Callithrix jacchus: one gene and its partners. The protein of the gene in region 1 purifies or fractionates together with the protein of each later gene. This does not show direct contact. Links are inferred from orthologs where the notes say so. Each region holds a gene or a part of one and is shown in the gene's direction. Other genes may lie near its edges. The genes, in order: EIF4G1, EIF3A, EIF4B, PDCD4, MKNK1, EIF3I and EIF3G.

Evidence for each region.
Region 2: the proteins of EIF4G1 (region 1) and EIF3A purify together in Homo sapiens (affinity purification with western blotting; 4 studies listed by BioGRID, with this or other methods). This does not show direct contact. The link is inferred for Callithrix jacchus from reciprocal best matches to the Homo sapiens genes EIF4G1 and EIF3A.
Region 3: the proteins of EIF4G1 (region 1) and EIF4B fractionate together in Homo sapiens (co-fractionation; 4 studies listed by BioGRID, with this or other methods). This does not show direct contact. The link is inferred for Callithrix jacchus from reciprocal best matches to the Homo sapiens genes EIF4G1 and EIF4B.
Region 4: the proteins of EIF4G1 (region 1) and PDCD4 purify together in Homo sapiens (affinity purification with western blotting; 3 studies listed by BioGRID and IntAct, with this or other methods). This does not show direct contact. The link is inferred for Callithrix jacchus from reciprocal best matches to the Homo sapiens genes EIF4G1 and PDCD4.
Region 5: the proteins of EIF4G1 (region 1) and MKNK1 purify together in Homo sapiens (affinity purification with western blotting; 3 studies listed by BioGRID and IntAct, with this or other methods). This does not show direct contact. The link is inferred for Callithrix jacchus from reciprocal best matches to the Homo sapiens genes EIF4G1 and MKNK1.
Region 6: the proteins of EIF4G1 (region 1) and EIF3I purify together in Homo sapiens (affinity purification with mass spectrometry; 5 studies listed by BioGRID and IntAct, counting the BioPlex papers as one, with this or other methods). This does not show direct contact. The link is inferred for Callithrix jacchus from reciprocal best matches to the Homo sapiens genes EIF4G1 and EIF3I.
Region 7: the proteins of EIF4G1 (region 1) and EIF3G purify together in Homo sapiens (affinity purification with mass spectrometry; 3 studies listed by BioGRID, with this or other methods). This does not show direct contact. The link is inferred for Callithrix jacchus from reciprocal best matches to the Homo sapiens genes EIF4G1 and EIF3G.

What each region holds. Positions count from the first base shown.
Region 1 is NC_133516.1:13,306,283-13,309,782, forward strand, and holds part of EIF4G1 (eukaryotic translation initiation factor 4 gamma 1), read left to right. Parts: intron 1-454; coding exon 455-580; intron 581-731; coding exon 732-813; intron 814-3,500.
Region 2 is NC_133513.1:112,012,420-112,015,919, reverse strand, and holds part of EIF3A (eukaryotic translation initiation factor 3 subunit A), read left to right. Parts: intron 1-425; coding exon 426-530; intron 531-646; exon of another isoform or gene 647-776; intron 777-919; coding exon 920-1,018; intron 1,019-1,662; exon of another isoform or gene 1,663-1,795; intron 1,796-2,099; coding exon 2,100-2,216; intron 2,217-2,402; coding exon 2,403-2,588; intron 2,589-3,500. UniProt on the Homo sapiens protein: RNA-binding component of the eukaryotic translation initiation factor 3 (eIF-3) complex, which is required for several steps in the initiation of protein synthesis.
Region 3 is NC_133510.1:66,554,510-66,558,495, reverse strand, and holds the start of EIF4B (eukaryotic translation initiation factor 4B), read left to right. Parts: upstream 1-1,186; 5' UTR 1,187-1,209; coding exon of another isoform or gene 1,210-1,222; intron 1,223-3,492; 5' UTR 3,493-3,536; intron 3,537-3,986. UniProt on the Homo sapiens protein: Required for the binding of mRNA to ribosomes. Functions in close association with EIF4-F and EIF4-A. Binds near the 5'-terminal cap of mRNA in presence of EIF-4F and ATP.
Region 4 is NC_133513.1:103,813,910-103,817,927, forward strand, and holds the start of PDCD4 (programmed cell death protein 4), read left to right. Parts: upstream 1-1,218; 5' UTR 1,219-1,314; intron 1,315-2,440; 5' UTR 2,441-2,465; intron 2,466-4,018. UniProt on the Homo sapiens protein: Inhibits translation initiation and cap-dependent translation. May excert its function by hindering the interaction between EIF4A1 and EIF4G. Inhibits the helicase activity of EIF4A. Modulates the activation of JUN kinase.
Region 5 is NC_133508.1:83,334,235-83,338,420, reverse strand, and holds the start of MKNK1 (MAP kinase-interacting serine/threonine-protein kinase 1), read left to right. Parts: upstream 1-1,386; 5' UTR 1,387-1,532; coding exon 1,533-1,701; intron 1,702-2,051; coding exon 2,052-2,153; intron 2,154-4,186. UniProt on the Homo sapiens protein: May play a role in the response to environmental stress and cytokines. Appears to regulate translation by phosphorylating EIF4E, thus increasing the affinity of this protein for the 7-methylguanosine-containing mRNA cap.
Region 6 is NC_133508.1:68,837,374-68,840,873, forward strand, and holds part of EIF3I (eukaryotic translation initiation factor 3 subunit I), read left to right. Parts: coding exon 1-105; intron 106-187; coding exon 188-315; intron 316-2,501; coding exon 2,502-2,612; intron 2,613-2,728; coding exon 2,729-2,818; intron 2,819-3,123; coding exon 3,124-3,197; intron 3,198-3,500. UniProt on the Homo sapiens protein: Component of the eukaryotic translation initiation factor 3 (eIF-3) complex, which is required for several steps in the initiation of protein synthesis.
Region 7 is NC_133523.1:9,307,731-9,311,772, reverse strand, and holds the start of EIF3G (eukaryotic translation initiation factor 3 subunit G), read left to right. Parts: upstream 1-1,242; 5' UTR 1,243-1,285; coding exon 1,286-1,305; intron 1,306-1,444; coding exon 1,445-1,491; intron 1,492-1,983; coding exon 1,984-2,067; intron 2,068-2,175; coding exon 2,176-2,264; intron 2,265-2,405; coding exon 2,406-2,465; intron 2,466-3,798; coding exon 3,799-3,903; intron 3,904-4,000; coding exon 4,001-4,042. UniProt on the Homo sapiens protein: RNA-binding component of the eukaryotic translation initiation factor 3 (eIF-3) complex, which is required for several steps in the initiation of protein synthesis.

The sequences.
Region 1 (3,500 bases):
TGGCTCATGCCTGGAATCCCAGCACTTTGGGAGGCCAGGGTGGGTGGATCATTTGAGGTCAGGAGTTCGAGACCAGCCTGGCTAACACGGTGAAATCACGTCTCTACTAAAAATACCAAAAATTAGTTGGACATGGTGGCAGGTGCCTGTAGTCCCAGCTACTTGCGAGGCTGAGGTTGCAGTGAGTGAGATTGTGCCGTTGCACTCCAGTCTGGGTGACGAGCAAAACTGTCCAAAAAAAAAGAGTATAGGTTCCTGGTCATCCTAGCTTTGTGGGGTTAAGTGGGGTGAAAACCATCTAAGGACACAAAGGTGGCCTTAGCTTGAGATAACTGTCCCCACGTATAGAAAATGTTCCTGGGGTCTCCACAATTGATCACTTAGCCATGCCATGTTGCCCCAGAAGGAGAGTGGGGACCTGGCCTAGAATGCCCTGACTGAATTCCCTTTGCAGGCTGTATGAAATCCTGGAATTGGCTGAGGACATGGAAATTGACATCCCCCACGTGTGGCTCTACCTAGCGGAACTGGTAACACCCATTCTGCAGGAAGGTGGGGTGCCCATGGGGGAGCTGTTGAGGTAAGCCCCGTGGGTGGAATTTAGGGCAGGTAAAGATCAGAGGAAAGGTGGTGGGGAAGTGTGCTGGGTCGGACACCCTGGTCTGGAGGGAGGTGGGTGGTGGCGAGAGGACCATGGAGGCTGTCAACACTGGGCTTTTCTCTTCTTGTAGGGAGATCACAAAGCCTCTGAGACCACTGGGCAAAGCTGCTTCCCTGTTGCTGGAGATCCTGGGCATCTTGTGCAAAAGCATGGTGAGTGAGGGCCAGGAGCCCAGAGACGCCTCCCGCGGTGGGGTTTTGGCTGTTGGCTGTGGCCCTGAAGCGTCATGGTCCATTGGTGTAGTGGAGTGATGGTGATGGGAGAGGAAATACTGAGGTGGGCCGTCTCCCGCACGCCAGTGCCCGTCGTGAGTTCTGGCCAAGACCAGAGGAGAATGGCTGAGATCCTAGGCCCATGATGGATGTATTCATTCCTTCATTCATTCAGCTAGGGTTTTGATCATTTCTCGTATACTAAGCACTAGGGATACCACAGTGAACACAACACAAGAAACAAGTTGGTAGATAAAAAGGAAGAAACGACAGCACGATGAAAACAGTGTGAAGCAAAGTGTGAAATAAAATAGCTGAAGTAGAGTGGAGTATCTTAAATACTGTGAGGTTGCAAAGGAGTATTCGACAATATTCATGACAGGAGGCTTTCCTCAAAGGGTGTTGAAGCAGCTATGTAAAAGTTAATTGGTAACTAGCGACTGTAAAGGCGAAAGGCAGGTTGATTGTAGTACTTAGTGGTAGGGAGAAGTTGTGAGTGTGCAGTTTCAAGGGTTCAGCCATCTGGAACCTGGAGTAATCACACTTGAGATTTAAAGGAGTTGTTATGTTGGCCGGGTACAGTGGCTCAAGCCTGTAATCCCAGCACTTTGGGAGGCCGAGGCGGGTGGATCACGAGGTCAAGAGATCGAGACCATCCTGGTCAACATGGTGAAACCCCGTCTCTACTAAAAATACAAAAAATTAGCTGGGCACGGTGGCGCGTGCCTGTAATCCCAGCTACTCGGGAGGCTGAGGCAGGAGAATTGCCTGAACCCAGGAGGCGGAGGTTGCGGTGAGCCGAGATCGCGCCATTGCACTCCAGCCTGGGTAACGAGAGCGAAACTCCATCTCAAAAAAAAAAGAAATACACAAATAGTTCAATATGCTTATTTGTTTTTTTTTTTTTTTTTTTTTTTAAAAAAACTTGTCCTGGTACACATCTATCTAAAAGAATTAAATGATGTTGACATAACAACTCCTTTATTTATTTATTTTTTTTGAGACAGAGTTTCGCTCTTGTTACCCAGGCTGGAGTGCAATGGCGCGATCTCGGCTCACCGCAACCTCCGCCTCCTGGGTTCAGGCAATTCTCCTGCCTCAGCCTCCCGAGTAGCTGGGATTACAGGCACGCGCCACCGTGCCCAGCTAATTTTTTGTATTTTTAATAGAGACGGGGTTTCACCATGTTGACCAGGATGATCTCGATCTCTTGACCTCGTGATCCACCCGCCTCGACCTCCCAAAGTGCTGGTGATTACAGGCTTGAGCCACCGCGCCCGGCCTTATTTGTGTATTTTATCGACTCCAATGTGCCATAGATTATAAGTCATCCTTTATGCACTGTTAAGAAAGAAAAGACTGGGCCAGGTGCCATAATCCCAGCTCTTTGGGAGACCACGGTGGGTGGATCACCTGAGGTCAGGAGTTCAAGACCAGCCTGGCCAACATGATGAAACCCCATCTCTACTCAAAATACAAGACTAGCCAGGCATGGTGGCGTGGGCCTGTGATCCCAGTTACTCGGGATTGCACCACTGTACTCCAGTCTGGGCAACAGAGTGAGCCTCTGTCTCAAAGAAAAGACTTGCAGTCATATTTTTTAAAATGCAGGCCAGTGCAGTGGCTCACACCTGTAATCTCAACACTTTGGGAGGCTGAGGCTGAGGAGGATGGATCACCTGAAGTCAGGAGTTTAAGACCAGCGTGGCCAAGATGGTGAAACCCTGTCTACTAAAAATGCAAAATAGCTGGGTGTGGTGGTACGTGCCTGTAGTCCCAGCTACTTGGGAGGCTGAGGCAGGAGAATCACTTGAACTCTGAGGGGGAGGTTGCAGTGAGCCAAGATCAGGCGCTGCACTCCATCCTGTATGACAGAGCAAGACTCCATCTCAAAAAAAAAAGGTATATATTAGCTGTAAGACAACTTTTAGTTAAAACGTGAAAAAATGGGCATGTTTAAAATCTGAACTGCAGTGATCTTGCTAAGGGCCAGTGCCATCATTTTATCTGTTATAAAGAAAAGAGTGATGTCTTCATAGTCTCTTGCCCCTTACAGAAAACATGTTCAGACTGTTGGATTTATGAGGATTTTCTACCATGTTGGGATGGGGTGTATCTGTGTCTTAAGATTTTCTGGATTTGGGAAACAAGCATACTTGTTAGAAGTTGTCCTTTCCTAAAGGCCCTTAGGTCATTTTTCCTATCCTAGTGTCAGCACTGTGGTGGACTAGTCTTCATTTGTTTTGTTTATTTTTTATTTTTATTTTTTGAGACAGAGTCTCACTCTGCCCAGGCTGGAGTGCAGTGGCACGATCTCAGGTCACTGCAACTTCCCCCTCACAGAGTTCAAGTGATTCTCCTGTCTCAGCCTTCTGATTAGCTGGGACTACAGGTATTCACCACCATGGCCAGCTAATTTTTATATTTTTAGTAGAGACAGGGTTTCAACCATGTTGGCCAGGCTGGTCTCCCAACTCCTGACCTCAAGGCAGGTCACCTGCCTTGGCCTTCCAGAATGCTGGGATCACAGGTGTGAGCCACCATGCCCGGCCAACAAGTTATTATTTGGGTGGTTATGTGACTGATGCCTGCCCTGCACTAGACTGTAGGAATGGAAGGGCTGTGCC
Region 2 (3,500 bases), on another chromosome or scaffold:
GTGCAGCCATGATAATTTTTGTGTGACAATTTATATAAAAGTAAAACTCTGTGAATCTAAAGCCTGAGCTGAAAGTGAAAAAAACAAAAAAACAAAAAAACTAAAACTCTGGTATTTTCCTTGTTATTGGTAATAAGCTATTCTGTTGCCCACAGTTTAATTGGTTGTGGTTGTGTGTTTTAGAGTTTCATTTCCTTTTTACATACTTCTCACTGTAGGTTAGTGTCATAGTGTGGGGCAAGAGACCTAGCAGAGTTGTACTTGGATTCATCTTTGGTAAATTTAGAGGAGGTTGAGGCTTGGTGATTTTTTAAAATCATTTTTCAGATTTCTAGTGCTATCATTTTCTTTAATTCATAGTCAGATCGGAATCTTAGTTGGAAAATTTCCTTTGGCAGTTACAGCTTTTGCTCTGCTTACTCTAGGTCAGATTTAATGTACTGCAATATGTTGTCCCAGAAGTGAAAGACCTTTACAATTGGCTTGAAGTGGAATTTAACCCACTAAAACTCTGTGAGCGAGTCACAAAGGTAAGCCTTTGGATTTAAGTTCTTTCTGATTGTTACCATGGAGTTGGCCTTATTGCAATTTTGGGTTGTACTGATATTTGTTAAGAAAGAAGTATTGTCTTATGTGTTAGAGTTCAGCGCACATTTCATTGTCTTTTTTCTTTTATTTCAAAAGAAAAGGTATTTCCAATGTACTAAACAAACCTTTGGAGGTTAATTAGCAGTATGACTAATTTAGTCATTGCTGTCAGTCACCTTCAAACAAGTATCAGTAGCTTCATGATACCTTTTGTATTTCTCTGCATTGGATGATGTTTTTGTATCTTAAAAAAAACTGAAAGAATTTCAGATGTTTTGGATCTGTTAATTGTAGAAAGTATGATTCTCTTTCAATTTAATGGCTTTTATAGGTTCTAAATTGGGTTAGGGAACAACCTGAAAAGGAACCGGAATTGCAACAGTATGTGCCGCAACTGCAGAGCAACACCATCCTCCGCCTTCTGCAGCAGGTACAAATTAAAAAAGGTTTTGTGGAAGAATTGGAGTTTCCTTGTTTGTGTGTACTGATCATGAAACGAAAAACTGGAAAAATCTAGAACTGTTTAGGAAGTGAGAACCTCCCCAGGTTCTACCCTTGACAACAGTTAGTCTCATACTACTTACTAACTTGAAAAACAGGATAATTGTATTTACACATTTTGTAACTGACTTTTTTTTTTTTTGGATGAACATTGTTTTGGGCATCTTTCCTTGTTGGTAATGTAGGACTACCTTATTCCTTTTAAGATAATGTGGTTTATTTATTCTGACTCTCTTGATGAAAACCTGTATTACTAGATTCTTTTTTCTTGTTAAAAATCTTGTAGCATTGAGCATCTTTCATACATGTATCTTTACATACTTCTGTTACTTTCTGTGGCATAAGAAGTGGAATTAGTTGTAGGGGTTATGCATTTAAAGCTTTAATAGCTGTTCAGAACCCTGGATTAATAGATCCTCCCACCATGAGTGAATGAGAGAGCCTTTTCATGTATTTTAGTCCAGGGGCTTGAGTAAGTTTTAATGTTTTGGCTTATAATGGGGGCTTAAGTGTTCCCATTTTGTTTTTCATTTGGGAAGGAAGGCCTTTTATTATATTTTTACCTCAGTGTTTGTGCACATTTCATTGACCTGCTTTCTTTTGTACATGTGAGCAGTGTTATTTCTTCTGTGCTATACAAATAGTTGAAGGCTAATTAGCAGTATTAACTATAAATAGTAATGCTGCCAGTCTCCTTCAGACAAAAATTATTTTAAGAAGTGTTTATAAATATATTCGGTAAGTAGTAGATTTTTAGTTTTTTTTTTTTTTTTAATATAATGAAAACTAGGATTTGAAAGGATTATAGGTTTGAGGAGTAGTATGATAATAGTTCTCAAAGCATGAGGTTTGGAGTTGATAGTCTGGGGATTAGAATTCTGGCTTTAACAATGTACTGCTAACATAATTCACTGGCGTAAGTTCTACTTCCCATGACTGTCATGAGATTGCACATAAAAGGTGCTGAATAAATAGTGGTTAGTGTTATTAACGCTATGTTTTCTATGCAGGTGGCACAGATTTATCAGAGCATTGAGTTTTCTCGTTTGACTTCTCTGGTTCCTTTTGTTGATGCTTTCCAACTGGAACGGGCCATAGTAGATGCAGCCAGGCATTGCGACTTGCAGGTAGGTATGTTCTGTAAGGGGACAGGTAGAAGGCCCTTAAGGGCTAGAAAGACACGTATCCTTTGTTTCTCATTTTAAAGTTTACTGAGTGAACTTTTCTAGCTTTTGTATGTGACTTTTTTTGTTGTTTTTTTTTGACTGCATGCTTACATATGGATTTAACCATTTATAATTTAATTTTCAAAGGTTCGTATTGATCACACTTCTCGGACTCTGAGTTTTGGATCTGATTTGAATTATGCTACTCGAGAAGATGCTCCGATTGGTCCTCATTTGCAAAGCATGCCTTCAGAGCAGATAAGAAACCAGCTGACAGCCATGTCCTCAGTACTTGCAAAAGCACTTGAAGTCATTAAGCCAGCTCATATACTGGTATGCATCTTCTAGGGGAAATAAATCTCAGAAGTTTTGAGAGAGTCTTATGCCATGTCTTTCACAAAAAGGTTTGAGATGATATCTAAGAGAAGGGATTTATGATATATTTTCTATAGATTGTACTTGGTAGAATTCTGTAGAAGTAGAATTCTATAGAATTGTTACTTTATCAAATACACAAACCATTGAGCTTTCTTCCACTAAACAAAATAATATTACTCTGTATAGGTAATGTAATAGTGTGGATTATGTTACAGAAGCAACCAGAGTGGACATATGATTCCTCAAAGAGTGAGGTACAATGACCAGATTTTTCCCTCCTGCTTCTTTCTTTCTTTCCTTCTGTATTTATTTATTTATTTGTTTGAGATGGAGTCTCTTGTCACCTAGTTTGGAGTGTAGTGGCACCATCTTGTCTCGCTACAGTCTCTACCTCTTGGGTTCAAGTGATTCTTGTGCCTCAGTCTCTTCTGTAGCTGGGACTACAGGCATGCACCGTATGCCCTGCTAATGTTTTATATTTTTGGTAGAGATGGGATTTTACCATGTTGGCCAGGCTGGTCTGAAACTCCTGGCCTCAAATGATTCAACCCACCTTGGCCTCCTGAAGTGCTGGGGTTACAGGCGTGAGCCACTGCCTGTAACAAGTTATTTCTTCTTTGTGAGCTCTGTTAATGAACACCTAAGGTAAGTTTGGTGCAGAGAAAAGTTGTCTTAGCTAGGAGAGCTTCTTTAGCCGCATCATTGCTATTTAAAGACTGAATAGGAGCAACACGATAGCATTTGATACTGAAAACAAATGTTTATCTTGGATAGTGTCATCTTCCCAATATCAAATGCAGATACATAGAAAGGCAGTGCATCAGGATTATTTTGTAATTTCTTTGATGCCTACTACCAGAGAATATT
Region 3 (3,986 bases), on another chromosome or scaffold:
AAGGGAGGTAAAAGCCATGGCAATTAAGTGTTCACCATTTGTTACCTTGTCATTCTGTCTAAACATGTCTCATTAAAACCATTCTTACAGATGTTAGATTTGTTTTGCCTTTACAAAAAGTAATTTGAAAACAAACTCAGGCCGGGGGCTCCCGCCTGTAATCCCGGCACTGTGGGAGGCCACAGAGGGAGGTAATACTTGAGCCCAGGAGTTCGAGACCAGTCTGGGCGACATAGGGAGACCCCCACCCCGCCCCACTCCGTGTCCACACAAATACTTGATTGCAGCTACTCAAGAGACTGAGGTAGAAGGACTGCTTGAGTGCCAGAGGTTGAGGATGCGGTGAGCGGAGACTGCGCCACTGCACTCCAGCCTGGGCGACAAGGCGAGACCCCGTCTCAAGAAATAAAAATAAATAAAACCAACTCAGTAATTTCTGATGTGGCCTTTAAAAACTAGACCGGGCGTGGTGGCTCACGCCTGTAATCCCAGCACTTCGAGAGGGCGAGGCGGGTGGATCGTCTGAGGTCAGGAGTCGAGACAAGCCTGGCCAACATGGTGAAACACCGCTTCTACTAAAAATACAAAAAACTAGCGGGTAATGGTGGCGGGCGCCTGTAATCCCAGCTGATCCGGAGGCTGAAGCAGGAGAATCTCTTGAACCCGAGAGGCGGGGGTTGCAGTGAGCCGAGGTCGCGCCATTGCACTCCAGCAGCCTGGGCAACAAAAGCGAAACTCCGTCTCAAAAAAAAAAAAACACCATTAAACTCAGAATCTTCCCTTTCTTAACATCCACTTATGGACACCCATTCCGAATCCATCAAGACGCGTCTCAGAGCAGAGTAAGCGGAACCAGCAGCGAAGCCCCGCCCTTGCCACCCCCTGCTCTGGCAGGAAGTCTGCGCGTCACGAGGCCGGCAGGGGCTTAGCTCCGGGCCCGCGTCCGCGTGTAGCCCTACGTAAAGCGTGAGGGGTTTCGCGACAGCCCAGGACCCACCCCTTTGGCCACATGTCGCGCATGTCTCCCCGTTGGACACTGTGCCACCTCGCCGCGCAACTTTACGAACCTAGAGCAGCGCCGCCCCGCCTCCTGTCTCCGTCCTCACCTCCCCGCCCCCTCCCAGCTTAGAGTCTCCTAGCCCGACGCGCCCACTAGAATCACGTGATTGCCTCATCCGGGTCCTTTGCGTTCTCTTTCCCTCTCCCAACATGGCGGCCTCAGGTGAGCGAGCAGCCGAGCGCGGCCAAGGACTGGGCTCTGAAACCCTCCTCCGAGCCTGATCCACTTATTTCCTGGAGTCGGGGAACTGCCAGCACCGGTTCCTTCCCGACTTGAGGGCTGCGGCAGGCTGGCGGCGTGGCCATGTTAGGTTGCTGCTTCGGGATGTTTGGGGGGAGGGGAAGGACACTTTCCCCTCCCCCTCACACTCTTTTCACACTTTCTGCGCGAGATTGGAATAGGCAGTAATGGTGGACTCAGGCTTGAATTGAAGAAGAAGGCGCAGAAAGGTGTGCGGGTGGTGCGAGGCGTTTTCATAGACGTGAAGCACCGTGCTCGCGTGAAGGCGTGGAGAAAGGAAGGAGGCGGTTGGTGCGCGGACGAGTGCACATTAGACTACGTCTACGATGCGCGAGGCGTAGCGGACCGGAGTCGGGGGCAGGGGAAAAGGGGGGGGCAGCAGTTAGAACGCCAGTGCGAGTCGGTGGAGGGGCGGGGGAAGGCAGCGGTGCGCGTGCGCCGTAGGAGATGCGAGGGTAGTGGAGACGGGCGCGCCTTCTATGCGTGCGCTAGAACCCAGATAGGAAGCTTTTACGCCCTGGTGTTGAGCTCTTCTTATGTCCTTTTAGGTTGTGCTCTTCCCTTTCTAGGGTGTGGCCCCGTGCCTGTACTTTTCCGAGGGTACGTCTGTTAGGCTTGGAGGTTGGTGCTATTGGAGTTAGATGGGGGTGGGGAACCCAGTATGGTGCGCCCACGTGTTGGAGAAGCACGGGTGTGCACCTAGATTTCTTTCTAGGTTTTTTTCTCTTACTCAGTTGGACGCATTTTTACTCAGCGCAGCTATATGCCAAGATGAGGTTTTCTTCTGGCGCTTCCATATTGGTTGAATTTGGATAGTTCCAGTGGTAGGTTTCAAGATTTCAGCCTTTTTTTTTTTTTTTTTTTTTGATAACTGTACAACCACCAGCAGGTACTTTTAAAATAATGCTTACTAGTGGCTGGAGTTGCTTACTTCTTTAGACATCTTTGGAGGGGAATATCAGTGCCATGCAAGCCTAGTTACATTTCTAATGGGCTTATAAGAGCATTGATGACCTAACATCTTGTAGCATTGATTTTAGTTTGGGGAATATAGTTTGTTTTCTCTGGCATGACCTTGCATTCTTCAAAACATTATTTGAACCTATCTTTGGGTGCTCATTTCTTACCCAGTAATTCATTTTCTCTATTACAAAGGAGATAAGGGTTATGGCTGGCTTTGGAAAACGTTGAGAAAATTGAGGTGCATTTGAACATCTTTCATTGGTGTAACACTTGACAGTTAACCAAGCACTTTTGTGCATGTTGTCTCCTTTGATCTTGAGGTAATGTAGAGAGATGGTGGTGGTTCCCAGCTGAGGAACATTATTTAAGGCCACACTGCTCTCAGCTGGCAGAGCAAGGTCAAAACCTTTGAGACTCCTTAGCAACTTAGAAGTACCAAGGTGTCATCTTCAGTTTTGGGCGCTGCCCGAAAGTGTCTGAAGTTTACAAAAGTTCATATTTTTTCTCCAGTGAGCTAGTAAAGTCCTAAATATATTTTAAACTAACCTTTGCATAAAGTACCTATTTGGTCTGGATTTGCCACCTTAACAGTTTAGTATCGTAATTTAGTGAAGAAAATCTGTGTTTTCTTAACTTTTGTGGAGCCTTTAGAGGCAGAAGACGACATGACAGCAATTCATGCCCTTCTTTTTACTGAGTTGAATGAAATTCAGACTGATTACAGGGATTTACTCAGTGACGTCCCATTCTCTTGTTCTTCCATATTTACCCCCTTGAAAACCCTCGTGTTCTTTCTTTCTTTCTTAATTTTTTTTAGACAGTCTCACTCTGTCGCCCAGGCTGGACTGCAGTGACTCGATCTCGGTTCACTGCCACTTCTACCTCCCGGGTTCAAGGGATTCTCCTGCCTCCTGACTAGATGGGATTACAGACGTCTGCTTTTTGTATTTGAAAACCCTCATCTGCTTTAATTCATTTTAGTGAATCTTTTTAGCTGGTACTGGTATTACTGGTATCTAAGCACAAGTCACATCTTTCAGTCTGCTCTTGAGGAATCTGGGGTTTATCAGATTTGTTTCCCCTCTCCTCTTCTCCAATCACATTAGCTTTGTGAAGTAACCGGTATTCCCTGATGTGGGAAGTGGATCTTGTGTATTCTCTGTGAAAATACATAAAACAACTTCATATCCCTCTTTAACTGTTAAATGAGACCAAAAAATTCTTTGCAGCAATACCAGTTTCCACTGTGACCCATTGACCTTCAGGAACTAAGGTAGGTGTCAGAACTGACTACAGAATGAGGATAGTTTGAATTCATAGAAACTTGTTGCATTGAGCCAGTACACTTAATTCCTTGTTTTTCCTTCTTAAAAAGAATTATTAAAGGCTGGGTGCTGTGGCTTACACCTGTAATCCCAGGAGGCTGAGGTCAGGAGTTCCGAGATCAGCTGGCCAACCAGTGGTGAAACCCTGTCTCTACTAAAAATACAAAAATTAGCTGGGCGTGGTGCTGGGTGCCTGTAGTCTCAGCTACTCAGGAGGCTGAGGCAGGAGAATCACTTGAACCTGGGAGTTGGAAGTTGCAGTGAGCCAAGATCGCGCCACTGCACTCCAACCTAGGTCACAGAGCAAGACTCCGTCTCAAAAAAGGAAAACATAATGGCCAGGTACGGTGGCTCATTCCTATAATCCTAGCACTTTGAGAGGCCAAGATAGCACTTTG
Region 4 (4,018 bases), on another chromosome or scaffold:
TTGCACTCCAGCCTGGGTAACAAGCGCGAAACTCCGTCTCAAAACAAACAAACAAACAAAACTAGCAGCGGGTGGGGAAGCATGTAGGGAGATGTGGAGACACAGCCTGAAAGTCTTAAAGTCACATAGTGGAGCCTTGAATGACCGACCCGGGTGCTGACACTCAAGAGAGGCAATGGGAAGACAATGAAGGTTTATTGTTTTGTTTTGTTTTGTGCAGAGAAATAGTAGCATTAGAGATGATTCCCAGGCAGGGTGACTGGGTAGCCAGGGTAAGGCGTGGCTTGTGCGGAATTAAGACAGTTGGGTTCTGGAGAGACCAAGCAATCATTCATGTGTGACCCATCAAACAACTGGAAAATCTGATCAGAGGTAAGTGGTTAAGTCCCCTCCTGGGAGCAGAGGGAGCACAAGGTTCTGGTTATTACCTCAGGGGACAGCGACCGAGAAAGAATACGGAAAGGACCAGCCAAAACGAACGCAGCCAAGACGAAAGGTCACAGAGAACAGCCAGGGGACCTGGGAATTTCAATACAGAGATTGTAGCCATGGCCCAGAACCCCAGCACGGGAGTCCAGAATGTGTGCGTTTGAACACCAGAGGCTTGGCTAGTCATGATTAGCAAAGCGACTTCAAAGAGTTTTTGAGCCTGTCTTATATCTGTAAAATGGGAATGATTTCTATCTCAAAGGGTTGAGGGGATTCGCTGAGAGTAACTTCTTAGTTATGGGATCTGCAGAAACTCTCCCTGGAGAGAGCAGGGGCCAGAGGGAGAAGGAATCCGACAGGCTGAACACTTGGGAGTGTCTAGAAATGGAGGCAGGGACCGTCAGGAAGCTGAAAATCTTTGCTTCAGCTGAGTTTGCAGCACGCCGTGCGAGGAGAATGGGTGCGCTGGGTCTGGGGAGCTTCTTTGTCCCCATTCCCCAGCACTGCCCGTGGGCCGACGCTCCCATCCCGCCACGCCTCCCAACGTACCCTCACCCGGGCTTCCCGCTCAGCTCCCGCTCCAGCCAGTCCCAGGAACCACAAGCGCATGCGCCCTCCCGCGCCCCTCCCCAACTTTCCACGTTTCATTCCTCTCCCTTTTCCTCCCCAGCTCCGGCTCCGCCGCTACGATTGGCCAACCGGCCACCGGGCCTCCGCCAATAAGCGCAGCCTTCTCGCCCCCGTGTTACTGGGTAGAAGAAAACAAAAACAAACAGAGCGAGAGGGGCCAGAGACTCTCCGAGGTGCAGAGGCGGCGGAGGCAGAGGAGCGGGATCGGGGCCGGCAGACCGGGGACCTGGGCGAGCAGCGGCGGGGGCCCGAGGGGTCAGTACCAGTGGGCGCGGCTCGCACGCTCGGGAAGATTGCTCCCTTTCCCTCATTCCCCCTCGGGGCAGCCGCACGATGGGAGGGGGCATGGGGGCCGCGGCCCTGTCAGGTCCTGGCCTGCGAGGCTGGGGTCCGGCTGCCTCCTCATAGCCCCACAGGTCCAGCCGCGCCCGCCCCAACGCTCCGGGACGCCGGCCCGGTTCCCTCCATCTGGGCCCAGCCCGGAGCGTGGCGACGCGGGCCCGCCCCCTCCCGGAGTCCTCTCCCCACTGAGAGGGGCGCGCGCCGGCGAGGGCCCCCCCCCAACCCTCCTCCCCCTCTGGCGGAGGTTGAATTCGGGGGTCAGGATTGGAAGGCGTGTTTCCGGTGAGACTGAAATCCTGTGAGGAAGGTTCGCATCCTCACCGCGCCCTCCTGAGAATCCCCTGAAGATGCATCCCCATGCCCGGCGTGCCCCGGAGACCCGGTCCCGGCCCAGCAGTTTCTGGGGGCCAGCCAGGGCTGGGGACTTCGGGGGTCCGGGCCTGAGCCCTCTGCAAGGGAGCGGGCTCGGCCGCTGCGGGGAAGGGCCACGCGCTCGCCTCGCCGGGGGGCTAGGAGGCGTACACGTGCCCGCCTCCCCTGCCCTGTGCGAACTTCGCCGCTCCAGCCCTCCGGCAAAGGGTCTCTTTTTTTTAGTTTAGGTAAAATAAAATCTCCCGGAGAAAACAAAGCCGGGAAGGGAGCCCCCTTTCTGTGAAACGCGTGCCATCTGCTGCATTTGTCAGTTTGGTGCTGTAACGTACATGGAGTTTTGCAAGAGCTTTAAAACTGTCTGCAGACGTCGATTTAGCCCACCTCCCCCTTGCTCTTGTGAGAACTTGCTACGTAGCCAGCAACTGTGTAGTGTCTACAAATGATAAAAACGATCAGAAATGCTGCTAGGTGTCGGGGAAAAGAGGGTTTCTCCTATTTTTTAACTTGCATTTTTACTGTTAATTTTTATAATTTTGATATTCTTTTTTTTCTGCCCCCCACCCACAATTTTGATATTCTTAACGTGGCTGTTTTTTTGGGAAACCACCAAGTGCTTTTTAAACAAGTAGTTATTGGTATTTATGTCCTTAATATTCCTTCATTACAGGTTTATTGAATACCTTAATAACTCAGTAAGTGCCTTTGAATTCTAATTGATTGGCTTTTTCCGTGATACTAATGTGAAAGGAAAAATAATTGTTAGGACTAAAAAAATAAATGCCACTTGAATATTTTCTGTAGTGCTCGTTTTTGCATTATTGTGGTACAAAGCTTTTAGCTGATTTTAAGCTGCTAATTAGCTGGCTGTAGCCGAAGAATGAATATAAGTAATTGTAGTTAATAAATGACTCCCCAAAATGCCAGAGCAATTTCTGAGGTATATTTCGGGAAATACATACAAATATACATACATACATATATATATATGTATATATACACATATACATGTATATATACACATATACACACACACATTTGCGGGGGAGTGGAGGGTCTTTTAGGGAAATGTCTTGGGAATTGAATAACACACTGGAGAAAAGAACAGTGTTTAATGTCAGCCTTCGTTTTCTTCTAACTTGTATGTATAGTTTTCTCATTGAAAATTCGTTTTTATAGGATGGTATGAAGGAAATAGGGTTTGGATTTTTTGCCATGTATTTTCCTGTTTGGGCCAATTGTGTTAACGGTTAAATTGGAAAAAAAAAGTCCTACTAGTTTTAAAGAGAGTAAAAACGTGGAACGTGTCTTATCTTTATCTGAACTCTTAAAATGTGTGTTGGCTGCTTTCAAATATGACTTGAGTTATCGATCGGGTTATCATTGCCTAAAAACACAGGACTTTTTTTTTTTTATTAAGATAACTTTATTAGGTAAGAGATGATACTCATTTCCTGACAGTTTTCTTTGTCTGATGGAATGCCTTCTGTATGATAGTTTAAAATAATTATTTTAAGTGTTTGGAAAACAGTATTTTAAAAAGTTTGATTTAACAGCAGAAGTCTGTTTTAATAAGCTTCTTTAAGAATCTTCCTATGGGATATTAAAATCTTGGATTGAACTTGTGCAGACAGTACTGGATTTGGAAGGTCTAGATTCTCATCCTGGCTCAAACTAAGCAGCTGTTTGTCCTTGGACATATTACCTACCCTCTCTGAATCTGTTTAGTTGTGTGTAAAGTGGAATACCTACCTGAAGATTGTTCTGTAAGGTACTAAATAATACATGTAAAATTCTTTTTGAATTGCAAGGGGCTTTTTAAACATCAGTTATATTCATTTCACTTATTAGGTTCTGCAGAAAATATTCTCTCAAAGGTTATACTTTCATCAAGAATGAAAAAGACTATAATAGAACTCTAAAAAACTCAAACACATCATATGACATTATTCCTTTCCTATAGGTAATTCATGCATGGAATTGAAACAGAATGTAGCCTTTTCAGCCATCAAGGATGCTAAATGTTTAAATCTGCAAACCATTTTTGTTCATGTATCTATATGAATCTCCATATACATATTTTTAAGATTTCTTTTCAAATCTAAAGTTGGTGAGAGTTATATTGAAAAGTGATTATAAAGAATCACATATATGAATATAATCTAGACAGAATTAGAGAATGGTCTCACCGTTTTCTTAAGTTCCCAAGCAATATGATAGCATGTTAGTCTGAGGATTATGCCATAGT
Region 5 (4,186 bases), on another chromosome or scaffold:
CTCCCTGAGCTCCTGAAGATGAGTGACCTGTGTTTTATTTCTGTTGAATTTTTTATTATATTATACATTTGGGAAGCTTTTTTCCTTTAATTTACCTTGACAAGGGTGGGTGTTGAGGTGCTTATTTGTTTTTGTTGTTTGCTTTTTTGAGACAGAATCTTGCTCTGTCACCCAGGCTGGAGTGCAATGGCACGATCTTGGCTCACTGCAACCTCCACCTCCCAGGTTCAAGCAGTTCTCCTGCCTCAGCCTCCCGAGTAGCTGGAACTACAGGCACCCGCCACCACGCCCGGCTAATTTTTGTATTTTTAGTAGAGACAGGTTTTACCATATTGGCCAGGCTGGTCTTGAACTTCTGACCTCAAGTGATCTTCCTGCCTTGGCCTCCTAAAGTGCTGGGATTACAGACGTGAGCCACCATACCCAGCCAGATATTCTTTGGATTCATAAGTTGTTGCAGTCCCCAGATATATCTTGTGTTTGATGCTGTTGGCTAGAGTTATATTTTAAGATCCTCTGTGGATTTCTTTTATCCGTGAGTTTATCTGTTCTCCATTCTAAACTATAATTAAAAATGTGCTACCATCAGATCCCCAAAGTGGATGGAAGAACGCACCTAAATTGAGCTGTCAGATACTTGGCTGCATAACCGTGCTTTCTGGATTGTGGTATTGAAGTGCCATCCTGTGTGCTTTCTCCTGATGGCTGTCATGTACTTGCCTCTGAGAACGGTGTATAGACCTGCATGGGCACTAATCAATCTTCCTAGCAGACTTGCTGTTTCTCTGATCGTATGCAGCCAGATCCTCTGAGAAGAGAGTGGGCCTTTCCCCTCAATGGGCAAAGAGCCAGCTTCCATTTTAAAAGCTCAGAAAAAAAAAAAAGAAAGAAAAATACCAACCACCCAGAGCCTGTTTATTGAAGGTTGGTCTAAAAGTCTCTCACGCCGTGTGCCCCATCAGCACTCGAGTGCCTCTATTTTAGAAGGATGTAAAGGTTTAATCACCCTGGTGGGGATTTAGACCCAGAGACTTGAGAGAAATCTTATTATTTCTAACTGCAGGCAAAGAGTATTAAGGCTCCACTCTGGATCAGGGGCATGACATGTTCTATAAGTAATTTATCTTTAACAGGGAAAGGCGCATACTAGAGTGTCTTAGAAACAGGGCTGTCATTGGGCACTGGTTCACTGTTCCTGCTTTTCTCTTTCCCATCTCAGTGTCCTGCTTATTCTTTTCATCCGACCCTTTTTTGCCCAATCTGTGCAGTATCTCAATGCCTGCCCTACAAATGCTCCCTTTAAGATGGGGAGCCAGGTGCTTGCCAATGGAGATAATAAGGTTTTTGCAATAAGTGACCTCATCCAGCAGCCTGGTGCAGACCTGTCAACTGCAGACTCCCGAATGGGTCCTACCTGCAGCCCTTCTGATGGAGGAGCTGTGGGAGGAGAGGATGCCATAGGCTCCATGGGCACTCAGGTCCGTGCTCTTGGACAGTAATTTGGGGCCATTTTGAACCGCAGCCCCAGCCCTATGGCTACCTTCACAGAGGCCATTTCCATTCCAGGCCTTTTGTGCCCTGTGCACATCCATAGCAATGTTGCTGAGCCTATGACTCGTCTGGATGGCCCACTCCCAACCTCCTTCTTGCCTAGCTCCCTCGGTTTTGCCTTTCTGATCCTGAGGCTGGAGGATGTCACAGGTGGGGTTCTGCCTATGGAGTCATTGTTCTGTTTGGGGAATATAGTTTGACCGGTGGCAGATCTAAATCCATGTGCTAATGAGCTTGGTTACAGCAGGCTTCTGCTGCTGTCTTTTAATCTAGCCTGCCTGTCTGAGCTCCTTTCCACAGTTAATGATCTCCCATAATGGTTTTCCCTTTAGTTTTTCCTCCTAGGTCAAAACAAATCAATAGTCTTCACAGATATTTAAAAACCATCAGTATAAAGCTCCTGGGTCCTCCCCCTACTACCTTTTTTTTTTTCCTTCTGGGTAAATTTACAGCTTGATCAGTACAGTGGTGTTTCCCTTACATCTCCTCTTATCTCCCAGAGATGGGCAGCAGTGAACCCCTTCCCATCGAAGATGGTGACAGGAGGAGGAAGAAGAAGCGGAGGGCCCGGGCCGCTGACTCCTTGCCAGGAAAGTTCGAAGGTTGGTCACACAAATCCCCTACATCTGAGCCTGCAGCTTCCCAAGTATAGGAGGAGCATCCTGGGGGCCACAGGTCCAGATCATAGGATGCATCAAGTTAGAGCCAGCTGGTGGTTATCTGTGTGGTAGGGAGATAAGATGGGGATGAGGGAATTTACACAGGACGTTACAGAAAGAGAGTGAGGATGGAAAAAGCTCAGATGACGCACTGGCTGCCTGTGAATGGCTCAGGTACCTTGTCAGGAAGCAGGAAGACCCATCTATCACTGTTATTGCCTGGGGTCTCCCACCCTTTTTTCAGATGTGATTCTTCCCTCAGCTATTCCTGGAGAGGCTGCTGAGAGATAGAACATATAAGAGGAAGAGAGACACACCAAAGGCCATGGCTGCAAATGAAACTTCAGTCTCCTACAAGCAGAGAATTTGTCACTCAGATTACACCTGCTTATGCTGTATGCATTTGACTACATTTTTTATTATTAATTTTTAAAATTTTTTTTTATTTTTTGAGACAGAGTCTCACTCTGTTGCCTAGGCTGGGTTGCACTGGCGTGATCTCGGCTCACTGCAACCTCCACCTCCCAGGTTCAAGCAATTCTCCTGCCTCAGCCTCCCCAATAGCTGGGATTACAAGTATGTCCCACCATGCCCGGCTTTTTTTTATATTTTTAGTAGAGTTGGGGTTTCGCCATGTTGGCCAGGCTGGACTCAAACTCCTCACCTTAAGTGATCCACCCACCTCAGCCTCCCAAAGTGCCGGGATTGCAGGCGTGAGCCATAGCGTCTGGCTTTGTGTTTGACTACATTTTAAAGAGTAATGAGTTTAAAGACTACATTTTAAAGAGTTCAGTAGACACATGTTGGGTCATCAGACTCTATGTGCAAGGCACTAGGCTCAGTGCAGGTCCTGTGGGCATGTGATGGGGTAAAACAAATCATTGGACACTTGTGCAAAGCACCAAAAGGATCAGTAGCTATTCCTAGGAGTAACATACCCCCCTTCATCTGTTTTGGTTTTTTTCATTGTGAGGTCTGAAGTAGCTTCCCTCCTGATCCCTCCTTCCAGGCTTCCAGACACACTAGTAAATTGGCTGCTGTATAGAGTGGCTCCAATAGCAAACACTTTATGTGTCAGGAATACTGGACCCCAGCCACCTACCTATCCTGATATGTGTAAAGGGCTAATGCCAATGTGTCCATTGTGAGAAGCGTGACATTTAAAATACTTACAAATAACAGTGTACCATCTGTTCTTACAAACAACCAAGACCAAACCATGTTGTAACAAAGAAGGTACTTTCAGCAGGGTTTGTAAAATTTGCCTTTAACTCAAACAATAGGGGGGTTGTGTGGGGTGGGGGGGAATGGGGGACAGACAAAGATCCCAAGGGTTTTAGAATAGTTTCCTAATCAACAGCTCTTTTGCTCTTTCAATTAACACAAGAGAGTGCTTCCTGTTTTTTAAGGACAGCTTGGCCAATGACAGGACTTCTCCTGACTGAGAATGATAAAATCTAATTCATGGTTGAAACATCTTCTGCTGAGGTTGTGGGTTTCAGTGGTAGGTGCCTCAAGAGGCTGAAGAATGGAGTGGGGATGAGGTCAGGCAGCTAGTGCTGTGATGGAGATGTGGCTTGCTTTGGAAGGGGCTCAAAGAGCTGTGCTATTTGTGAGCTTGGGCAGGTCACCTAGATGTTCCTTTAACCCAGGTCTATTACTCTGTTAGAACCACTATGATTCAGTACCCTAAAAACCTCAAGGCATCCTTTGCATCCTACTTCTGTCTCTTATTTCCTGTGGGTGACTTCTGGAGACTTCTCAGAAGCCTCCAATGACTTCCATTGTGTGGGGTATAAAATAGAACAGCGTTTTCTCTCCTTTGTATCGCCAGTGCTTACACAGAGCTTGGCACATAATAGGTGGTCAGTAAATGAGTAAATGAATATTCATTCAAATCATATCCTTTCTCTGAGGATCCTCCAGATTCTCTGAACAGATTAAACCCTTTTTTTCCCCCCACTTTTTTTTTTTTT
Region 6 (3,500 bases), on another chromosome or scaffold:
GCGGTTTTGACTTTGGCGGCAACATCATCATGTTCTCCACGGACAAGCAGATGGGCTACCAGTGCTTTGTGAGCTTCTTTGACCTTCGGGATCCGAGCCAGATTGGTGAGGGCTGGGACTAGGGCTGGGGTTGAAGTGAAGGGTTCAGCTCTAGAGCCCAGGGCCTAACAGCTACTGCCTCACACAGACAACAATGAGCCCTACATGAAGATCCCTTGCAATGACTCTAAAATCACCAGTGCCGTTTGGGGACCCCTGGGAGAGTGCATCATCGCTGGCCATGAGAGTGGAGAGCTCAACCAGTACAGTGCCAAGGTAAGGGGCCACAGGGGGCCTGTGCCTACCAGAATGGTTCTTTTATATATATATATATATATATTTTTTTTTAATATTAAGATGGGGCTGACCTCAGGTGATCCACCCACCTCGGCCTCCCAGAGTGCTAGGATTACAGGCATGAGCCACCGCGCCCAGCCCCAGAATGGTTCTTTATAAGAGGCAGGATAGCACAGTAGTTCAGGGCGAGGGTGGGGCTGGGTGCTGTGGCTCACACCTGTAATCCCAGTGCCTTTGGAGTCCAAGGCAGGAGGATCTCTTGAGTCCAGGAGTTGGGGCTGCAGTGAGCTATGATCACACCACTGCACTCCAGCCTGGGTGTCAGTGAGACCCTGTCTCTAAAAAGAAAAAGCTTAATAAAAAATTTTAGGCCAGGTGCAGTGGCTCACGCCTATAATCCCAGCACTTTGGGAGGCTGAGGTGGGTGGATCACGAGGTCAAGAGATCGAGACCATCCTGGTCAACAAGGTGGAACCCATCTCTACTAAAAATACAAAAATTAGCTGAGCATGGTGGTGCGCGCCTGTAGTCCCAGCTACTCGGGAGGCTGAGGCAGGAGAATTGCTTGAACCCAGAAGGTGGAGGTTGTGGTGAGCTGAGATCGTGCCACTGCACTCCAGCCTGGGTAACAATAGCGAAACTCCGTCTCAAAAAAATAAATAAATAAAAATAAAAACTTTAAAAAATTTAAAAATAAAAAATTTAAAAAAGAGCAAGGGTGAGAATCAAAAATAGATTTCACCATTTTCTAGCTGTGTGGTCTTGGGCAAGTTACATAACTTCTCTGACCCTGCTTATCTGTAAAATGGTTCAAGGATCAAATGATACCACATGTTTGAAAAATTTGTCACAAAGTACTCAGGACATGATAATAAGGATCACAGGCCAGACATGGTGACTTGGACCTGTAATCCTAATACTTTGGGAGGCCGGGGCAGGAGGATCGCTTGAGCCCAGGAGATGGAGATCAGCCTGGGCAACATAGGAAGATCCTGTTTCTACAAAAAAAATTAAAAATTAGCTGGGCCTGGTGGAGCACACCTCTGGTCCCAGGTACTCAATTGAGGCTGAAAGATTGCTTGAGTCTGGGAGATTGAGGCTGCAGTGAGCCATGATTGTGCCACTGTACTTCAGCCTGGGTGATAGAGTAAGAACCTGTCTCAAGAAAATAAATAAGGGGCCAGGCACAGTGGCTCACCCCTGTAATCGCATCACTTTGGGAGGCTGAAGCAGGCAGATCATGAGGTCAGGAGTTCAAGATCAGCCTGGCCAACATGGTGAAACCCCATCTCTACTAAAAATACAAAAAAAATAGCTAGGCGTGGTGGCAGGTGCCTGTAATCCCAACTACTTGGGAGGCTGAGACAGGAGAATTCATTGAACCTGTGAGGCAGAGGGTGCAGTGAGCCAAGATAGCACTACTGCACTCCAGCCTGGGCAACTGAGTAAGACTCCATCTCAAAAATAAATAAATTAAATTAATAAGGATCACAATGAGCATTTTCCTGTGACGACTGAGTATAATGCCCTGTGCTGGGCTCCTAGAACAAAGAAGTAAATCAGACACAGTCCCTGCCGCCCCAGGGAGAGACAGACTTGCAAACAGCTAGCACCTGAGTCAGATTGTGATTTGTGCCATCATTGAAGTCTCAACCAAGTGTTGAAGGTGCACTGTCACAGGGAGGTGGCATGTACATTAAACCTTGGAGAATAAATGGACCTTCAAGCAGGAAGGAAGGGACATCCCACAGCCAAGGGGAACAGCAAAAGGAAAGGCACAGAGTTAAGGAAGTATGGAGTCTTCAGGAACCCTTGGGATGTGGTGTTGGGGATGGAGGACAGGGAATAGATTTTACACAGCCTTAAGTGTGAGGAGGTAAAGAGTTGATTTTCCTCCAGGCAGTAGGGAATCTTTAGAGGTTACTAAAGGTCAGATTTCCTTCCAACAGCTTTTGCAGTTATGGTTTGGAAAATGGACCTGAACTAGCCAATAGGCATAGGAGGTACAGTACTGGACAGTCACTGGATGTTTAGGGGTGACTGATTAGATAGAGGGGTGAGGAAAACATAAAGTCCATGCTGTTCTAATTTGAATGATTAGGTTTCTGGGGAACTGAGATTAGTAGGGATCGGGACCAGTCAGTCTCACTCTTCTCCTTCCCCAGTCTGGAGAGGTATTGGTGAATGTTAAGGAGCACTCACGGCAGATCAACGACATCCAGTTATCCAGGGACATGACCATGTTTGTGACTGCATCCAAGGACAACACAGCCAAGGTGAGCCTAGGCAGGGGTCTGTCAGGCTGCTCTCTCCCTCCTGCTACACACCTCACCCTGCCTGACTTCCCTCAGGAAGGTTCTTTACAGATTTCCCCCCTGCCTTCTCTCTCCAGCTTTTTGACTCCACAACTCTTGAACATCAGAAGACTTTCCGGACAGAACGTCCTGTCAACTCAGCTGCCCTCTCCCCCAACTATGACCATGTAAGAGAACCCCACCAGCCTTCCTGCTAAAGCCTCAGAAAGCTTCCAAGATCTAGCTGTTTGTCTAGAAGTTAGGCTACAAGCATTTTGGGGGAAATGATGTCAGGCAGAGAGGAGTGACAAAGCTGGAAGGATTGAGTAGCCCCAGGGAAGCAGCAGAAGGTGGTGGAGGTGTCTGATCATCCCCTACCTTTGGTATCCTCCCATTGAGCTGTGTGAGATGTTAAAAATGTATATGGCAGGAGAAAAACAGAAAATGGACTTGGTGCCCATTGGGCCCATCTGGAGTTTCTTCTTCCCTTCAGGTGGTCCTGGGCGGTGGTCAGGAAGCCATGGATGTAACCACAACCTCCACCAGGATTGGCAAGTTTGAGGCCAGGTAAAGAGGAAGAGAGCTCTTCCAAATTGAAATCTCATGAAGTGTACCTTTTTTTTTTTTTTTTTTGAGACAGAGTTACACTGTCACCCAGACCGGAGTACAGTGGTGTGATCTCTGCTCACTGCAACCTCCGCCTCCTGGGTTCAAGCAATTCTCCTGCCTCAACCTCCCGACTAGCTGGGATTACATTCGCCCACCACCACGCCCGGCTAATTTTTGTGTTTTTAGTAGAGCTAGGGTTTTGCCACATTGACCAGGCTGGTCTTGAACTCCTGGCCTCAAGTAATCCGCCTACCTTGGCCT
Region 7 (4,042 bases), on another chromosome or scaffold:
GGTGGCTCACGCCTGTAATCCAAGCACTTTGGAGGCCAAGTTGGGCGGATCACCTGAGGTTGGGAGTTCACGACCAGCCTGACCAACATGGTGAAACCCCGTCTTGAAAAAAAAAAAAAAAAAAAGAATAAGATGTTGTCTGATAGAGCTGGCTTTGGAAGACCACAATATCTTAGTTTTTTTCCCCCTCGCTGAAAACCAGTTTTTGCTCCTGGGGAGTCATCATGAATCACTCCAGCTGAGGATGGTTGTTCTTAGAGCAAGGAGCTGAGCAATAAGCAAGTAAATGCACAAAATTATACCGGAAAGCCAAGAACACTACAACGAAAAGGAGGAGGAGTGGCTCATCGGGCCCCTTGACATCTGAATCTGTGGGATTGGGAAAGAAGGCAAGGAACAGTTTGCAGAAGGACTGTTTTCCCTGAGCCTCGGCTTTTTGTTTTTGTTTTTGTTTTTTCTTTCTTTTTCTTTTTTAGAGATGGTGGTGGGTGTGTGTCGGGGTGGTGGTGGTGGGGTTCTCACCCTGTTGCCCAGGCTAGCTACTCTCGAACTCCTGGCCTCAAGCAACCCCCATGCCTCAGTCTCAAAGTGCGGGGTTACAGGCGTGTGACACCTCACCCAGTCTCAGCCTCAGTTTCTTGAGCTGTAAAATTGCAATAATATCCTCCTCACCCTGCTTCATATACAATAAGCACTCGATCAGTGAACCTTGTTGTTATTATATCATTTTCTTTAACTTATTTTTCTGAGATGGAGTCTCACTCTGTAGCCCAGACTGGAATGCAGTGACGCGGTCTCGCCTCACTGCGGCCTCTGCCTCCCGGTTTAAGCGATTGTCCCGCCTCAGCCTCCGGAGTAGCTGGGACTACGAGTGCATGCTACCACACCCGGTTAATTTTTGTAGTTTTACTAGAAACGGGGTTTCACCATGTTGGCCAGGATGGTCTCGATCTCCTGACCTCGTGATCTGTCCGTCTCGGCCTCCCAAAGTGCTGGGATTACAGGCTTCAGCCACCGCGCCCGGCTTATTTTGGTTTTTAAAGGGTAGTAGGAGCAGCAGTGAAATCAGCCTCTACGCCCCCACCGCCCTTCCGCGCTCCCTGCTCTGGTACCAGCAGCTCCCAGCAGCATACACAGCCGCGTGCGCCTCCACCTCCGTCCGCAGGTGTCGCTGTGGATGCCGCGGCCGGCCCCACTAGGCGGTGTCCGCGGAACCGGAAGTCTCCTTTTACACCCACTTCCGCTCTCTAGCCCGGGCTTGGGCTGCGTGGAGAGCCCTTTTGCGATGCCTACTGGAGATTTTGAGTGAGTTGGGGATCACGGAAGCGGGTACGGGAGGCGGTTACAGGGCTCTGGGAAGTATTATGGGGCCTGGGTGCGCCGAGGCCGCGGGGGCTTGGCCTGGCTGACTTAATCTTAGCTCCCCACACACTTGTTTCCGCAGTTCGAAGCCCAGCTGGGCCGACCAGGTGGAAGAGGAGGGAGAGGACGGTAAGTGAATCCGTTTGCCCCAGGTCATCGCGGCCAGGCCCGAGCCGGTTCACTGCTGCCTGTTTCCATCTCCCAGACTGGCACCGTGTTCGCCGTCACGGCCAGCCCCTGCCCCGCGCCTTCATCCTTGGGGCTCGCCTGTTGCCAACTCCAGATGTTCCTTGGCAGGTCCCTCTTCCTCCCATGCCATTGCGCTAGCCCTCCCAGCTGTTCCCTTACTCCAGGGAGACAATTGTAATCTCCTGTCTCCTGTTTCTCTCTGGCGCCTGGATGGCTTCATGGCGTGGCCCCCACCTTCCTACGAGGGATTCCCCCATCCTGGCCACTCCGCGTCCCCACAGGGCCATCCCAGTGTACTACCTGGCCAGTCCTCTGCCCTTGGCCTGCCTTTCTCAGCTTTTGCTGTAGGCGTCATCCCAAAGGCCCTTCCATCTCAGCTGGGGAGCTCCTGCCCCTGGAGCTGACCCCTTCTCCCCACGCTGCTTCTCGCAGACAAATGTGTCACCAGCGAGCTCCTCAAAGGGATCCCTCTGGCCACCGGCGACACCAGCCCAGAGCCGGAGCTGCTGCCGGGAGGTGAGTGAGGACTGCCACTCCGTTCCGGGCTGCCTCTCCCTCCAGCCGTGCCGCTCCTGATGCCCGTGACCCAGGGCTCAGTTTCTTGCTCTTTTTCCCCTTCTCCAGCTCCACTGCCGCCTCCCAAGGAGGTCATCAACGGAAACATAAAGACAGTGACGGAGTACAAGATAGATGAGGATGGCAAGAAGTTCAAGGTGAGGGTGGGAGGGGGCAAGGAGTGAGGACCCTTTTCCTTGGGGACCCTGAGACCAGAAGAGGTTGGGGTGTGTTGAGTGGGTTGATAAAGGAGCTCCTTTGGTTCCAGGAGCCTGACCCTTCTCCTCTCCCATCCTCAGATTGTCCGCACCTTCAGGATTGAGACCCGGAAGGCTTCAAAGGCTGTCGCAAGGAGGAAGGTGAGATCCTCCTTCCCCAGGGATAACACAGAGGAATTGGAAAACTGTGTTCCCTGGACCTTTGTTTTTAAGAGATGGGACTTAACTCTGTACCTGTTGTGAGTCTGAACTGAGCCTTGGGTTCTTGTATTCTTATGGGGTCTTGAAAAGTTCAGGGCACAGGAGTTGATGATGATGCACAGTAAAAATGTTCAATGATGGGCAGGGGTGCAGTGAAAGTAGCCATGTGTGGTGGTGTGCACCTATAATCCCAGCTACGGGGCAGGCTAAGGCAGAAGAATTGCTTGAATCTGGGAGACGGAGGTTGCAGTTAGCTGAGGTTGCACCATTGCACTCCAGCCTGGGTGACAGAGTGAGACTGCATCTCACCAAAAAAAAAAAAAAAGTTTGATGATAAATATCGAATGATAGTAATATCAAATAAATTAGATTAAAAATATTGTAAGTTAGATTCTTTTATTTTTTTTTTAAAGACACAGGGTCCAGTCCTGTTGCCCAGTCTTGAGGGCAGTGGCACAGTCAGAGCTTACTGCAGCCTTACACTCCCAGGTTCAAGCCATCCTCCCACCTCACCCTGCTGAGTAGCTGGGGTTACAGGTGTGCACCGCCACACCGGGCTAATTTTAAGTTTTTGTAGAGGTAAGGTTTCTCTATGTTGATCAGGCTGGTCTCCAGTTCCTGGGCTCAAGAGCTTCCACCTTCACCTCGCAAAGTGCTGGGATTACAGGAGGGAGCCCCTGCGACCAGCTGTGGTTAGATTTTTTATTCCTCTTAGCCTGTCAATGGAGGAATGGAGCCAGAAGGTGGTCACAGCAGTTTCTGGAAGAAGTGATATCAATTAATACACTTGGGACAGTTTGCTGTGCGCTTAGTTTGTACCATACCTCATGCCAGCCACCTGGCAGGGTGTTTCTCATTTGATGTCCTTAGAAGCCCAGGGAGGTAGGAAGCTTTTGTGGTTCCTGTTTTACAAGGGAGGAAGCCAAGGCTCAGGCTGGGTAGCTCAAAGGCCTGGAGGTCTGGGTGGAGCCCCTTCACATCCCTGAATATTGAACCCTAGTGGGAGCTTGTCCGCCAACATGAACAGGCCCCAGGCTGTGTAGCTCTCACCTGGGGCCCAATGCTGACAGCTGCCCTGCCTCCTGGAGCTCAGGCCTGGCGGGGACTCAGGCAATAGGAACTGTCAACAGAACTGTTCAGGGAGTGGTTGAGGAGGATGAAAATGAGGTTCAAGGCCCAGACACTCCGGGGAAGGCTGTAGGTCCGGGACACCCCACTGTGGAACCCTGCCTGCCCCTGCCCTCAATTGTCCCCCATTCCTCCCTGAGCCCAGAACTGGAAGAAGTTTGGAAACTCAGAGTTTGACCCCCCAGGGCCCAATGTGGCCACCACCACTGTCAGTGACGATGTCTCTATGACGTTCATCACCAGCAAGGAGGTAAGCAGGGCAACCAGACTGGGCTGGGGTCCTGGGGTGGTGGCAAATGGGGTGCCTCAGCCACCTCTTTGAATTCCCCCAAACCTGCCCCTGCCAGGACCTGAACTGCCAGGAGGAGGAGGACCCCATGAACAAACTC